Linked DNA regions of Struthio camelus. The protein of the gene in region 2 interacts with the protein of the main gene of each other region in a pairwise test. Links are inferred from orthologs where the notes say so. Each region holds a gene or a part of one and is shown on either strand. Other genes may lie near its edges. The genes, in order: ABHD17A and HPGDS.

Region 1 (7,506 bases), on a different chromosome or scaffold from region 2:
CCGCTGGGTGTACTGGAAATCCGCCCGGTCCGTCAAATGCAGCTTCCAGCGTCCCACAGCACCTCCTCGCAGGGAGCCAGTGCTGGTGCTGCCCGCGGACTCGGGCTCAGGGACCATGGCGTACGTGGGCTCCGGGGGTAGGAAGGCCAGTTTGGCCGCAATACGACTGGGGCAGGGCGGGCAGCAAAAGAGGCAGCAGAGCTGGCTGACTGACAGCCCGTTCATGACGGCGGCTTCAGCGCTAAACCAAGCTGCGCCTGGAGCAAGCAAGGATCCAAATCAGACAGTCAGGGACCAGTGATGGCCTGGGAAAGCCTCTGTCCTCCACCTGCCCTCGTCACAGCTGCCAACAGAACAGGGCAGCCGGCAGTCTCCTGTGGACTGTGGCGGCTGCCGTCCGTCTGTCCATCAACAGCGGCGGTGGCCTGCAACCAGAAGGTCAGACAAACAATGAGGGAGGGGGAGGCTCCCCCCAAAGTTCACCACATGCACGCACCACAATTACAGCATATGTGATAAGCGTGACATCAGAGCATATGCCACAAGCGGGATGCACAGCCCAGCCCCACTCAGAGAGCAGGGACAAACACCCCCTGCCCAAACACAGGCCGTCCCCAACGCAGGTTACATCTCCTCTCCTCAAACTTGGATGGTTCGTTGCTTCTTCCACTGGCAAACACACACACAACCCTCACCCTATGCCACACACAACACGCATAGCACATCTCCCTCCCAGGCAGAGGGGCACAACGTCTTCCCCCAACAGACACACTGCTCCCTCCCCGCAGCGTGCGCCCGCCACCGAAAACCACACAGCCCACGCTCACGCTGAGCCCACACACGCACACCCACATGCTCCCCATCCAGAAAACCAAGCCCCAGCACTGTACAACACTTCACAGGCACGCACGCCCACACCCCCCCAAATCACACACCGCAACCCCCGCAGAGATTTGCAGCATCTTCACGCAGGCCCACGCCAGGGAAGCGAGGACAGCGGGCGCAGGACTTCTCGCAGGCACGCACACTCCCAGGTGGTCGGTGCTACAAAGGAAACGGCACCCCGACGTCCCCCCACAAACGCCGGCAGAGGCTGGCCCACATGCTCGCAGCTAGAATGCAAACCCCCAAAAAAAGCAAGAGAGGGGGAAGGGGGGAAAAAAAAAGCAACTATTTTCTGCAAGTTCGGGCACAGACTCGCTGTTGAGGAATGTCAAACCAGCCCACACCCCCAGGAATTCACTCCATCTGCTTCTGAAGGGCTGGGAAAGAAGAGGAAAGGGTGGAGGGAGAGAGGCCTGCCCATCCAGCCAGAAGGGGAAGGCATGCATGGAAATATTTCTCTCCAGAATAAATGGATTCCCCTCCCGCCCCTGGACACGCACACGTGCCCCGGCATGGCCGTAGTCCCCCCTCTTTGGAGGTGAATTCGGGTCTCCTTCAGGCCAGTGAGAATCCGCGGTGGCCGATGTGACCCAGAGCCACGAGGGTGGCATCCTGGACATGCCAGCTCTGGGATCCTCCTAGCATAACCGGCTGCTCACCCCAAAGTGCCAGTGGAGCAGGGGGATGCACGCATCCACACACCCGCGGGCACTACAGTACCCACAACAGGCAACGGCTGCGAGGCAGGTCACACACCTGCCTGCAGGGACACGTATGGTGTGTCAGTACAGGCATGCAGAAACACATGGCTGTAGGCAGCACTGCAGAGCACACACACCGTGTGTCACACATGCACCTGGCAAATCCCGAGCCCCGGTGTCATTTTGGGGACACACACCACACAGGAAGCCCCCACCACTGGGGCTGGCACGCACCTCCGGGCGCTCGGGCCACCCGCGGGGCCGAGTCCTCTGCCTTCAGGCCCACACTGACCCCACACCCCAGACCCACCAGCACACCAGGTTGCACGTCCAGACCCACATACACACTCACCCCATTGCGTGTGTCCATACACACACATACAGACCCCAGCCCCACATACCTCACTGATGGGGGTGTCCAGACCCCCTCACACACTGAGCCAGACCCACACACACACAAACCCACCCCATAAAGACCCCCTCCCCAGCCCCACGCATCCCAGTGATGGGGGCATCCAGGCCCCCTCACGCACTAACCCCAGGCCCAGAACGTGAGTCCAGGTCTGGGTCCGGGTCCAGGCGCCTCCCCAACCTCCACAGACTAACCCGAGCACCACACTGACCTCCCAGCCCACGAGCACCCCACCGATGGGGGTGTCCAGCCCCCCCCCCCCACTGTCCCCAGGCCCATAAGCCCCACCGGTGGGGTTGTCCAGCCCCCCTTCACTGTCCCCAGGCCCATAAGCCCCACCGGTGGGGTTGTCCAGCCCCCCTCCCCACAGTCCCCAGCCCCATAAGCCCCACAAGCCCCACAGACGAGGGCTGTCCAGACCCCCTCCCCACACTGTCCCCAGCCCCATAAGCCCCGACGATGGGGGTGTCCAGCCCCCCTCCCCACAGTCCCCAGCCCCATAAGCCCCACAGACGAGGGCTGTCCAGCCCCCCTCCCCACACCGTCCCCAGCCCCACAAGTCCCACCGGTGGGGTTGTCCAGCCCCCCTCCCCACACCGTCCTCAGCCCCACAAGTCCCACCGGTGGGGTTGTCCAGCCCCCCTCCCCACACTGTCCCCAGCCCCACAAGCCCCACCGGTGGGGGTTGTCCAGCCCCCCTCCCCACACCGTCCCCAGCCCCACAAGCCCCACCGGTGGGGTTGTCCAGCCCCCCTCCCCACACTGTCCCCAGCCCCACAAGCCCCACCGGTGGGGGTTGTCCAGCCCCCCTCCCCACACCGTCCCCAGCCCCACACACCCCACCGGTGGGGGTGCCCAGCCCCCCCCCCCACCGACCCAGCCCCACACGCAGAGCCTGGCTGCAGGCCCCCCATACAAACACGCACCGCTCCCCCCAGCCCCCCGGCACCTGCGTGCCCAGGCCCCCTCCATTACCTGGACATGCTGCTGCTGTGGCGGCGGTGCGAGCTGGGGGCTGCGCTCGGCGCCGGCCGGGCCGGGCTCGGCCCCCGCTCGGGGATCGCTGCGGGGCGGGCGGCCGCTGCGGGCCGCCGAGCCGGGGGCGGCCCTGCATGGCGGCGGCGGCGGCGCTGCTACTGCGCGCCCCGCCCCGGCCCCGCCCCGCGCGGCGCGGGAAGTGACGCCCCCGCCCAGGCCCCGCCCCGCCCCGCGCGCCCCGCCCCGCCCCGGCTCCCGGCCCTGCGCGCGGCCGGGGGCGGCTGTGCAGCCGCTCGGCGCTGGGCACGCCGCGGGGCTGCGGTGCACCCTCGCCCCCGTCCTGCACGCTCCCGGGGCTGCAATGCACCTTCCCCGCGTCCTGCACGCTCCGAGGCTGCAAAGCGCCCTCCCTGCCCCGTCCTGCGTGCTCCTGGGGCTGCAATGCACCCTCCCCCCCCCCATCCTGCATGCTCCCCGGGGCTGCAATGCACCCTCCCCGCCCCATCCTGCATGCTCCCAGGGCTGCAATGCACCTTCCCCCCGACCCCGTCCTGCACGCTCCGAGGCTGCAAAGCACCCTCCCTGCCCTGTCCTGCATGCTCCAGGGGCTGCAATGCACCCTCGCCCCCTTCTTGCATGCTCCTGGGGCTGCAATGCACCCTCCCTCCCGATCCTGCATGCTCCGAGGCTGCAGTGCTGCTGTTCCCCTGCACGCCGGCCCTGCGTGCTCCCAGGGCAGCAGTGTCCCTGCCTTGCAGGCCCTGCATGCTCCGGAGCTGCAATGCACCCCCCCCCCACCCTTGCAGGCCCTGCATGCTCCCAGGGATCCTTTCCCCCTCCCTTACAGGCTGTGCATGGTGTCAGGGGGCTGTGATGCACCCCCCCCCGCCCAGCTCACAGGGAGGGCATGCTGCACCCCTCCCCCCTTGCATGCTGCAGGGCTGCGGTGTTCCTCCCTGCAGGGCTGGCATGTGCCCAAGGCTGCACGGTTGCTTCCCTGCAGCAGTCACCCTTGCTTGAGGAGGCTGTGTGCCGGGGGCTGCAGCACGGGTACCCTGCGGGACGCAGGGGACAAGCCCTTCTCCAGACCAGCTCACCACCAAGCCTCCCCTATTAGCCATGGGGAAACTGAGGCACAGAGCATGCCTTGGCCAAAGCAAGGTGCAGCTGGGACACCTGGGTTTGCCCGGCAGCACAGGGTGGGAGCGGGGCTTTGCAGTTTGCAGAGGGAACCGGGAGCGATTGCAGCGAGGGACGAGAGGGGCATTTCGAGGGCAGAAATACCCATTCATCTGTGCTCTGAGCGCCAACGCCAGCTCAGGAATCGGCTGTGCGCATAAAGAACCATCCACAGCATCCAAGCAAACTAGAATATATTAATATTTACAGATCTGGTTTCATACTCAGAAAAATAAAAGAGAAAGGGAGGTGGTGGAGGAGCAGCCGGCTGCCTTTTCGCATCCGGGCTCTCCTGCTCCATGTGCGGCAGCAGGCTGCTTCCCCGTCCCTCCCGAGTCTGCAAACTTTGTGCGAACAGTAACACAGGGGTTCTTACAATTTCTCCTGGCCCCGCCTGGGCAGCCTGTCCCCGTGGTGCTGAAAGGGCTCAGGGGCACTCTCCCAAAAAGCCAAATCCATCGATGTAAATCAAGGGGGGTTTCTGCAGAGCCTAAGGCAAGAGTGAACTGGGAGAGCGTTCAAAGCTCGTTTTCCACTGCTCCAGCTCAAAACCCAACTGAGCCCCCACTTGCCTGGGCTAATGCGCCGACAGCACGGCAAGCAGGCCAAGCCAACGTCGCTTGTTCGCCCCACCGCACCGCAGAGGAGATCCCAAATTCTGGAGCTGCTAAGCCATGGGTGCTGGGCAGCCCCCAGGCTTTCATCCCCCACCGAAAAGGCAGACAGCCCCTGGCTGCAGCCCTGCCAGCTCCACGGTGCATTTTTGCACTGATCTCCACCAGCTGATGGTTTGGCCTGGTGCGCTTAACAGCTCTCTGCAGCTGGGATACGAGTTGATATTGAAGGAAACGCTCAAAACACATGGGATGGTTAAAAGCGGGGCAGAGGCTGATGTTTTCTCCTGGGACCCATCTGGATTTCTTTGCTTGTGAGACGGAGCCATCGCAGCCTCGCCGGCCTGGCTCTCAGCTTTGCAGCGGCCCGGGAAGAAGAGCCTGGAAAAAAGTCCTTCAGGAAAAGCCGCGGCTGATGCAGCCTCTGGGGGCAGCGGAGGGGGAGACCCAAACCCTGCCAAAAGATTTCTCCCAGAGACCTTTTTCCCCTGGGGCCGCGGCTGAGGCTCAGCCGAGGCCGATGTCAAGGGTTAGGTGAAACATGAAGCCCAGAGCTCCCCCTGGGGTGAGGCTGCAAAAGGGCCCCTAAAAGAAGAGCGAGGCTGCAAAACGGTTTCTCCCATGCTGTTCTTCCAACTGGGCTGGTGATCAGGGTCTTCTCCAAGGCTCGGCCCATGACCAGAAGCTAAAGTTAGGGTTGGGAACGAGACAAAAGAACCCCAGACCCTCCAGGTGCCTTTCTGAGGACCTCAGAGACCCCTGTTTGGCTTTCAGTGCGCCCCAGGAGCCTCTGTGTGCCTTTCAGGGAGTACCAGGGTCCTCTGTTTTCCTTTTGGACAGCCCTGGAGCCTTCCATGTGCCTTTCCTTGCACCCCAGAGCCCTCCAAATGTCTTTCAGGATGCACTAGGGATCTCCATTTGGCTTCTGGAGTGCCCCAGAGTAATCCATGTGCCTTTTGGGGTGCTCCAGAGACCTCCGTGTGGCTCTCTGCATGCCCCCGAGCCCTTCATGTGGCTTTCGGTGTTTCCCAGGACCCTCCATGTGCCTTTCCATGCACCCCAGATCCCTTTGCTTGGCTTTAGGAGCGCCCTGGAGTTCATTGCAGCAATGGTGACTTCCACGTCCCCTGGGGACCCGGCCCTGCCTCTCTCCCCACAAGGACAAGCAGCGAGATGAGAAGGCAAGAAGGTTGAGCGAGCTTTCAGAGCAAATACACTCATAGGAAAGGAGGACTCCCACTGAATATCAGCAAAGCCTACAGGGGAGGAAACGGGTCTCCGAGACTTGCATGCGTGCAGGAAAGGTTAGAGGTTTGATGGTCTAAGCTTTGTGCACAACCCTGATCAGAAAGAATCATATAAGGCAGAAGGTAGAGTTAAGTGGAAAGAACAGGCTGTCAGAGCGCGGGCTGCAGCCGTGCTACATCCAGGCTCGCTTGGGAAGGGGCCAGCAGTTATGTACGGGGTGAGAGAGGAGCGTTTGAAGCCCACAGAAGGCTGGTGCAAGGGTGTCCCTCAGGCCAGCCAAGTCCTTGGAAGGAGCAAGCCCCACAGGCTGGCTCCCTCCCAGCGGTGAGAGGCAAGAGGCACAGAGTGGTACTTTCTTAACAGTCCTGACTTGTGGCTGGAGGTGTCTGTGTCGCCGCAAGCCACAAAGTAACTTTACTCTGTCAGTACTCTGCTGCTTAATGATCCAACTGCTTCAACAGCTTCTCGAAGGGAAGGGAGGGGTATTTGGGGTGTTAAAACTACCGAATCCTCTTTCCCGCATCTGAGATCAGGCAGAGCAGAGGGTAGACTTGCCGCTGGGATTCCTCAGCTCCCGCTTCTACATCTGCCACGAACAGACAATGGAGCAGAGGGAACAAAGTATGGAGACAGCTCACGGACACTAGCGGCTAGTCCTGGGAGGTTTGCAGAACTCAGAGCTGCAGGTCGAACGGAAAGGCTGCCTGGGGGAACCCTGCTGCCCGCGCCGTGCAAACCACCCTGGCGGAAGACAAGTCCAAAGGTCTTAGCACTGGCGGTGGGTGGAGCAGGGACGATCCCTTTTCCTTTTGGAAGTTGGTCAAAAATGGATCAATTGAGCAGCGGCTTTAGGACAGACAGGAAGGGAGAGAAGGAATCCCAGATCTCTGCCAAAAAGGTGCGAGAACTCTCCACATCTCGGTGTAGATTCACGTCTGCTGCTGGAGGCCCCATCATGCCACTGATGGGGTTGGGAGGAAGAGGAGGGCTGGGAGGAAGGGGAGGAGCACCAGGCCAGGTGGCTGTAGTTCTAGCTGCTCAGCTTCCTTCACAACTTTTGGATCTTCTCAGCTATGATGATGGGGTTCTCCTTACGGATTTTCTCAGCTGCTTCTGCCTTATAGTCGTACGGGCAGGCGTGCATGTCTGAGTACCGGTGAATGGCACAGAACAGGTTCCCACAGCGGCAGTCAAACCCTGAAGGGAGGAACGGCAAAGAGAGAAAGCCATGTTAATCACTGTCCAGCCAGATGAAAAGGCAGCAGAGCCCGGACTGTTCCCTGCTAGGCCATGAAACCCCACTAAAGCAGAAAGAGAAGGTCAGACTAATAAGAGGGGCTGCTGGCTGGGATGGGTGAAAGTGAGTCTTTGAGTGCGGGGGAAGATTTTAGGTAGCTCTTAGGTTTCCTCTGGCTTAGCTGCTCTCAGGAAAACTGTCATGAGTGCACGTGTTCTCTGGGGCAGGCCCAGCTGTCATAGCAACGGGCAA
Region 2 (7,238 bases):
CTGCGAGGTCATTCGAGTCATAATTTCTGTATACCTTTATCTTTTCTCCTTCTGCTCAAACTCAGCCCAGTATGAGACTGGATTTGCAGGATGGCAGTGTTACTTGTTGGTGGGCAGGAGGGAGCTGAGGCAGGCTGGAAGGCTGTAACTCCCACGTGCCCCCCACCATGAGTACCTCCCGGTACAGAATATGTAGCGGGTATCAAAAGATCCCTTTGCCATTTCTGTTACCCAAATCCAGAGCTGAGTCTCACAGTCTGATTTAGCTGACTGCTTTTCTCCTATTCCCTTTCATGCTTGTGCTTTACAGAGTCATTTCTTCAAGGGCATGTATTTAGTCCCCTCTGAAAAGGGGCAAAATGGAGTATTTAATTTTCTCAGTCCATTGTAGTAGGTTTTTTTATGGGAGTCTTAGCAGACTGACTCCAGATAAGTGAGGTTTTTTAAAATAATGTTGGTTTACAGTTGGATGGGTTATCTGGCATTTGGCAAGTTTGGTTGGTTGGTTTGTTTTTTTTTTTTCCTCTTGGACTACCTGGTAAAAGAGTGAAAATATTGCCGTCTGAAATATTCTATGCAGTATATATGATAAATTTTCAGCTGGTGTGAATAAACGTAGCTTTTAGTGGAATGTCATGCCGTTTGCTAACTCAACTCCAACAGTATGTCAGCGGCTTTTATAGTGGTATTACTCACCACTGAGATTTTGGTAAAAGGTATTTTGAAAGTGTGCACCGTCTTCAACTATTTCTGCTTTCTAACTGCTTAGTAGAAGGTTGCACATGGCAAAACCAAGAAAACTCTTCATATAATAAAGACCTGGTGAACTATTTTCTGAGTAGATCATACAAGCTGTAAGGCTTACCCTCTGTCCAAGCTAGGCTTTTAGGCAGAAGACCTGAAGAGTAGCAATAGGTCTTAAGTCCATTGTCCTAACATTAACAAAGGATGGACTGGTAAAATTGTGAAGAAAAGTAAGACGACGACTGCATATAGGAATGGCACGTTCTGCCACAATATACCGTGAGACTGTTCCTGCCGTGATCCTATCTGTGGCAGTACTGAAGACCCTGGAACATAGGTCTAGAAGTCTAAAGGTCAAACCCATATAGCAGCAGAGCTGGTAGGTTTGTTGGTGGCTCTGCAGCAGAGAGCTGGCTACCACCTGTTTGCAGGTGCCCCAAACCGAACATAGGTAATTGCCACAAAGCAAGTATGTTTTGGGGAAGGCAGGAACAGTGGCTGCTTGCTTTAACTGCATGTGCGTTGACATGACAAAAATGGGAATCCCCTCTTCCACAGCTGTCAATAGATTAAATCGTCACCCTGAGTGAGGTCTGGAAGACAGATTTTTCTCGAAATTACATGATAGCATATGTAAGTTTTTGAATATGCATAGCTCTGCTGCTATGCAATTGAGACAGAGCTGCATTTTATAGCATATACTGTAAATGCAGTAATCACTGAATCACCGGGATGAGTGGCTTTGTTTTTGGTAATAAGAATTAAACTAATTCAAAGAACCATTTTGTGTGCATTTGCTGTTTAGAATTTGAAGCGCTTCAGTCCCATTTCTGTCAAAATTGATATGAGTGTGTGTCTGTGTGCACGCGCGTCTGTGGTGGGGGCTTATTCCCGGTGTGCCTGTATCCTTAGGGGAGGTGGATTCTGTTTTGGGTTAAGGAAAACAAAAGAGTAACCAGAAGTAAATTTCTGAAAGACCTCTATGTCTAAATCTTCTTGTTTGGCAAAAGCTGCAGCAACTTTTGAGTGTAAGAGTACCAGTGGTCCCACACAGTTGTTAGACGCATACAAGTCCGGGAAAAATACTTCACAGCTAAGCTTTGTTTGAATAGTTTGAAATGAGCAGTAAAGAAAGAAGGATGACTTTTACGGGAGAAAATGTGTGCAAGAAGATTATGCACACAGGCAAATGCAGGCAGTTAGAATTAAAGAGGGGGAAAAAAATACTGAACAGATTTAGAGGATCATTTTGAAATAAAAACCAGAACACCTCAGCAAAAAAAGTATTGTCCCCTTTGAAAAAGGGGAGAAAAAGCAGCAAATGAAAGCAGATGCCGCAAGATTTCTTCTGTAAAATAATGGTGAGAATTAGGATGAGGGTATTGTCTTCTGGTCAGCAGCAGATTAACAAGAATTCAGAAAAGGGCTAGAGTAGGATGTAAAAGTGATGCGCAGGAATTGGTTAGCGCTGCTTAATATTCATCTAAGTCCTGGCATTAACCTAGATTTGGTTTGGTTGCGTTAAGTGACTGTATGCGAGTCAGCTTTTCTAACAGAGTACTGCTTCAAGGTGGTTTTTCACTCACTGAGAAGCGTGCGTTGGGGAACGCCAGCAGCTTTCCCGCATCGTTGCTACGCCCGCTTGGGTTGTCTTTTCCTTGCACCGTGTTTCTCTGTCGGGTATCCTGATTATCGGAGTGGGTCAATACCGAGAGCATCGGAGACTGGTTGAGAAGCGGGGGCTTGCGGCATCGACAGGCTAGCAGTCTGCCTTTTTGCCCCTGGAAAAGTAGTCTGTGGTTTCTGAGGTCTCCTTGCGGCAGTGCGGGGGCCTTACGCGCGGCGGGGACTTCAGAGATGCCTGTGAGTGGCAGAGGAGGTGTACCGATGGGTACACCTCGAGTTAGGCGGGCAGCGCGCCTACGGAGCTCGCTCTGCCAGCAGCGCGAGTCGGGGACTTCTGCGCCCGGTCAGCTTAACACGCACCGTAGGAACCGAAACGCGCGCGGTCCTCGCCGTTAAGCGTCGCATCATTTGACGCAAACAAACCCCGCGCAGCTAGCATAACGGTATCCCCGAGGAGGGCGGAACAAGGTGGGAAGAGCAGGAAAGGGGAAAGAGAGAAGAAGCTGGACGCTTTGTAGGCAGCAAAGCTTAAAAGGAACTCACTCTGGTGCAGCGAAACGCGCTCCCTTCCTCGGCGCACAGGAGCCCCAGTGCTGGGCTCAGTGCGAAAGGCTTACATTTATATCTGTACTGTTTATTAATATGCAAACCACTCCCCATCGTGACTCACTCTCAGGAGTACACACACAGCAAACGTGTCGTTTCCTCAGATAACGTGCAAGCTTTGTGTCTTTTCTCGGACCGCGATACCAGACTTGGCACTGGGAATTTTTCAGCTTGCACTCAAGGACAAGAAATATTTAAAGTGCTGTATTTAACCAAAAAAAAAAACAAAAAAAAAGTAGTAGACACTTCAATGATCAGGCACCAGGGAGCTGAGCCAGATGTCGGGTGTGTTTTTGTTTGTTTGTTTTTTGGTCCCGTTCCCCCCCCCCTTCTTCCCCCCCCGCCCCGGCAACTTGTGTGCAGGAGCAGGCCAAGAAACTGCTGTCTTCAATTATCTGTAAATGACATGAAGCCCTCCAGTATCTGATCTAATTATGGAACAATGCGTTAAATAGCTGCGATCTCATTAAAGCAAGGGAGCCGGGGGAAAAAAAAAGGCAAACAAATAAAGTATCGTATCTATACCTTTGTCGTAAAGCACAAAGTATGGATTTGTGGAGGAAGGGGGGTTGCTGGTGTTGCAACTTATTGGTGCCTTGACCTTAACAAAGTCCGTTCGGTATTGTTGTGCTTTGATTTCCTGTTCGTACGTGACCGAATGCATGTGTGCCATACCGCACGACTTCGTTTTGAAGCCTCATTCACTTTTTGTAATAGATGTTTGCCAGTGCTCTTTGCAGGTGCGGAGAGCAGGCCTGACCCGAGCGCTCTCCCCCGCGTGGAGGAGCGGTCAGATTCCTGTAGCTTGCAGCATTAATCATTTGCCTCAAAACAACTCATTTCCATGCAGTAAATGCGTTTCCCTGGTGTCAGCAGCTGAGTCTTCGACTACCAACACCCTTAACAGCCAAGAGAAAGTTTACAAAAAAGCCAGCATCGTCTGATCAGTACTGGTATAACCTGACTTAAGAGCCAAAGTGCCCAGGGGCGCCTCAGTGGTGATACTTCCTTGCTTTTGGAGCCCTTGACTTTGTCGTCTAGATTTATGCATTAACATTGCTTTTCTCCAGTATAAAACGGGGGGGGGGGTGTTATCACTTAAAAAAAAAAAAAACGGAGTATTCTCCAGGAATTGTTTTCAGTTGGCAACAGTTTGTTCCTATCTTGGCTGGATTGCCAATGACGCTGCTCAGTAAAGCATTAGTAAGAATTGGGGAGTTAGCTTTTACTTTTAATGCAAGTTAGTTAATGAGTTAAACCCGTACCTCACCGTGAGAGTTGTCATCGTTTAGCTGGTATAAAGCACAAGCGCTTCCTTGCACCAGAATCTTTCCTCTCGTGATTTATAAGGTAGCAAAAAGCTCGTTTTCACTTTACCTGTGGGAAATCTTCAATGCCGATGCAGGAGGAAATCAGGGCCTCTTAAAAGTCTATGGCAAAGCTGTGGTAGGACCAAGTCTTTAACTTCACGTTTGCAAATCGGTAGCTGGTCCACGTTCAGGGGAAGTCGTGCTCAGGGCTGCATCCTGTGGGCATGCGTAATTCTCTCCCTTCGGTGCTGCTCTGAAAGCCTGACAGCCTAGCGCAGTGTGATTATAAAAGCCAAACGTATTAAAAAGCTAAATGTACAAAGGGTGTTTTTCAGGAGTACCTGCTCCTCAGCCGAGTAAAGCTCTTTACAGGATCAGGTGGTAGGCTTATTCTCTAGAAGCAAAAATAATTCTTGCTTTCTGCCAGATTCTGCCCAAGTCTCATCCAAATGATCAAATGAATTCCTGGGCTTCCTAAAGCCAGAAGTGATTTGTGTCCATAAGTTGAGAATAACGAAGTTAATAATGCACTGAACCGATTTAACCTTGGCTTCCTCTGATAATGATTTCTTACAGAGTAAGCCCTCTATTTATTTTACCCATCCAGCCTGCAACGGCTATTGATCGCATGAAAAAGTTGCTGGACTGCCCACTCCTATGCAGTCAAGCTGCGACTGTTTATCACAACTTGTTGCAAGAGACGCTTCATCTAAAGTACCTTTTGCTTGTGTCCAACCCCAAAAAGCTTTAGAAGCTGTGAGGACATTGCTAATTGAGACTGTGGTCTAGGAAAAGAATTACGTATCAAATCTGGGAGGAGAGACGTCCGTTTGGATCAGACACCTTCAGATCAGACTGTAGCAGAGGCGTTTTCGTAGGAGAGTCTGTTGTCACATGCTGCTGCTGCTCGGCTTTTCAACACTTTGCCCCGTGGTCTTAGAGCAGCATCTGGGTTTCTGGCAGTGAAGTTGCAACTGGCTGAAGCTGACACTTTTTCTTGGTCGGTGCTGAGGCTCTCCACTCTATTTGAAAGCCCTAGATAAATCCAGAGGAAGCCACATGGATTGAAACTAAGTCCAAGGTTTAGTTCAACAGATGTCCCTTTTGGAGCATTCGTGGGCTATTGTTGGGTCAGAAAATCGTGGCACAGATCTGTTTCTCTGCGAGTCCATCAGTATTGCTGGTCATTCTTCTGCCTTTTGAGTCACTGCCAGTCCCTCCCCACCTCTCCTCTCTGTCACTGCTCTACTTTGTCCCAATGTTGATAGTTAAGCATAACACTGAAGTAAGACACAGCATTTCATGGTTTTGCCAGTGGTGCAAGTCTCTACCATGAGACAGCTTGCTTGATGCTGTCAGTGGCCCAGTTGAGGTGAATCAACGTGTCGGCAGAAACATCTGCAGCGGAAGTGGTTTCTGATGGCTCATTTTGGGAACAGTGAGGGTCCAGCTTCCGCCCCCCTCCCCCCCCCGAGCTGAAACGGGAGTAAATCCGTGACCATGCTGCAGGCTCTCCTCTCCCTGGAGGAAATTCCCAGCCAGGCATTTACAGTGAGCAGACTACAATGGGCAAGACATGACCATCTTACTGAGAGTGGTAACTTCCAGTTAATGCCTCTACATTTCCACTTGCCTGTCCAGGAGAATAACACCATTCAAGCCAAAAGTTTCGCTAAAAATTTGGAAATAGCGCTCGTGTTCTTAGCAATTTCCGTGCCCCCCCCCCCTTCCTTTTTTCTCCAATTATGGTGTTTTGCTGTTATTACTAAATATTCTTTTAATTTTCTTAAGCGAGTCTGTAGAAAATGATTTTAGGAAATGAATAATACCACCTTACATAGCTTGTAAGCCCCATCATGAGGCATATTAGGCCTGTATTTAGAAACCTGTCAATGCCGCAATGTCCTAAGACCACTCAGCCTTTTATGTGCAGTAGGGTTCAGCACTTCGCATTCTTTTAGCGAACAGTAAATTCAGCCAGAGCAATTCACTTTTAAATAGACCTGATGTTTGGCAACTGCAACCTAAATTTACAAAGAGTTTTGCTCAAAGAAGAAAATGTCTTGAAATATCAGTTGCTTAGTTTTGAAAAAGTTGAAATGTTTACAGTTTTCCTTTTGAGTGAATGTTTGTAGGGTTTTTTTTTTCTAATTTGAAAAATAACAGTCAGAAAAAGGTGATTGAACTTTAAAAGCATCATTGTGTTAATAGAAGCATGTTCAAAAATTTTCAGCTTGCTTTCTCCATGCATATGCATTGCTTTACTTAGGATTTTTTTTTTTTTTGTAAAAAGGATATCAAAGGGTCATGAACACCTTTGAAAGAAATTATACCTTCTTAGTCAAACATGATTCCAGCTTTACTATAGCTTTAGTAAAAGGCAGCATTTAATGATCAATCAAGTCGGAGATAGGCTTTCAGAACTCGGCAGCTTAGAGAAGTAGTCGACTAAAGGAAGGCTGCTCATTTTGGGTTTTACGTGATAACTTTATTTGTGTGCTCCTGGCAGCAGGGTGCCTTTTTGCTAAGAACAGTAAAAAGCAACAACTGAAAGATTCTTCCTCAAACTGCTACGTGGGGAGCAAGAGCAATAAAAAGCAAACCATTAGACACAGTTGCCTGTGTTGGGAAATAGTCCCTTGGTTTTATTCATGAGGAGTAGAAATGTTCACGGGTGCAGGTGTTTGTATATGAAGGATCCAAAGCCCAGAGAAGAAAACTGAAGGACTTGTGCTAACTATAGTGGGCTTCTGTCTCAGAAGCTGTTTTTGCAATCCAGAATTTAAATAGAGCCGTAACTACTCATTAATTCCAAATGCCTAACTCTTTCCTAGTGCATTTGCTTCAAAATTTCCTTTCTCTAACAGTTGGTCCCGAGTTAGCTGGCACACTATTTATTTTCTTTATTTTAGCGCTCCTATTTCTGAGAAACTGGCAAGTGTAGGGACAACC

Evidence for each region.
Region 1: the proteins of HPGDS (region 2) and ABHD17A interact in binary tests that used the Homo sapiens proteins (3 or more experiments, as listed by UniProt). The two-hybrid records come from large-scale screens. The link is inferred for Struthio camelus from reciprocal best matches to the Homo sapiens genes HPGDS and ABHD17A.

Annotation. Positions count from the first base shown.
Region 1 is NC_090967.1:3,072,034-3,079,539, forward strand, and holds the start of ABHD17A (alpha/beta hydrolase domain-containing protein 17A), read right to left. Parts: upstream 3,119-7,506; 5' UTR 2,974-3,118; intron 1,257-2,973; exon of another isoform or gene 936-1,256; intron 426-935; 5' UTR 226-425; coding exon 1-225. Other genes in the region: AN1-type zinc finger protein 5, read right to left, coding at 7,066-7,214. UniProt on the Homo sapiens protein: Hydrolyzes fatty acids from S-acylated cysteine residues in proteins. Has depalmitoylating activity towards NRAS. Has depalmitoylating activity towards DLG4/PSD95. May have depalmitoylating activity towards MAP6.
Region 2 is NC_090945.1:14,953,418-14,960,655, forward strand, and holds the start of HPGDS (hematopoietic prostaglandin D synthase), read right to left. Parts: upstream 3,046-7,238; 5' UTR 3,031-3,045; coding exon 2,914-3,030; intron 1-2,913. UniProt on the Homo sapiens protein: Bifunctional enzyme which catalyzes both the conversion of PGH2 to PGD2, a prostaglandin involved in smooth muscle contraction/relaxation and a potent inhibitor of platelet aggregation, and the conjugation of glutathione with a wide range of aryl halides and organic isothiocyanates.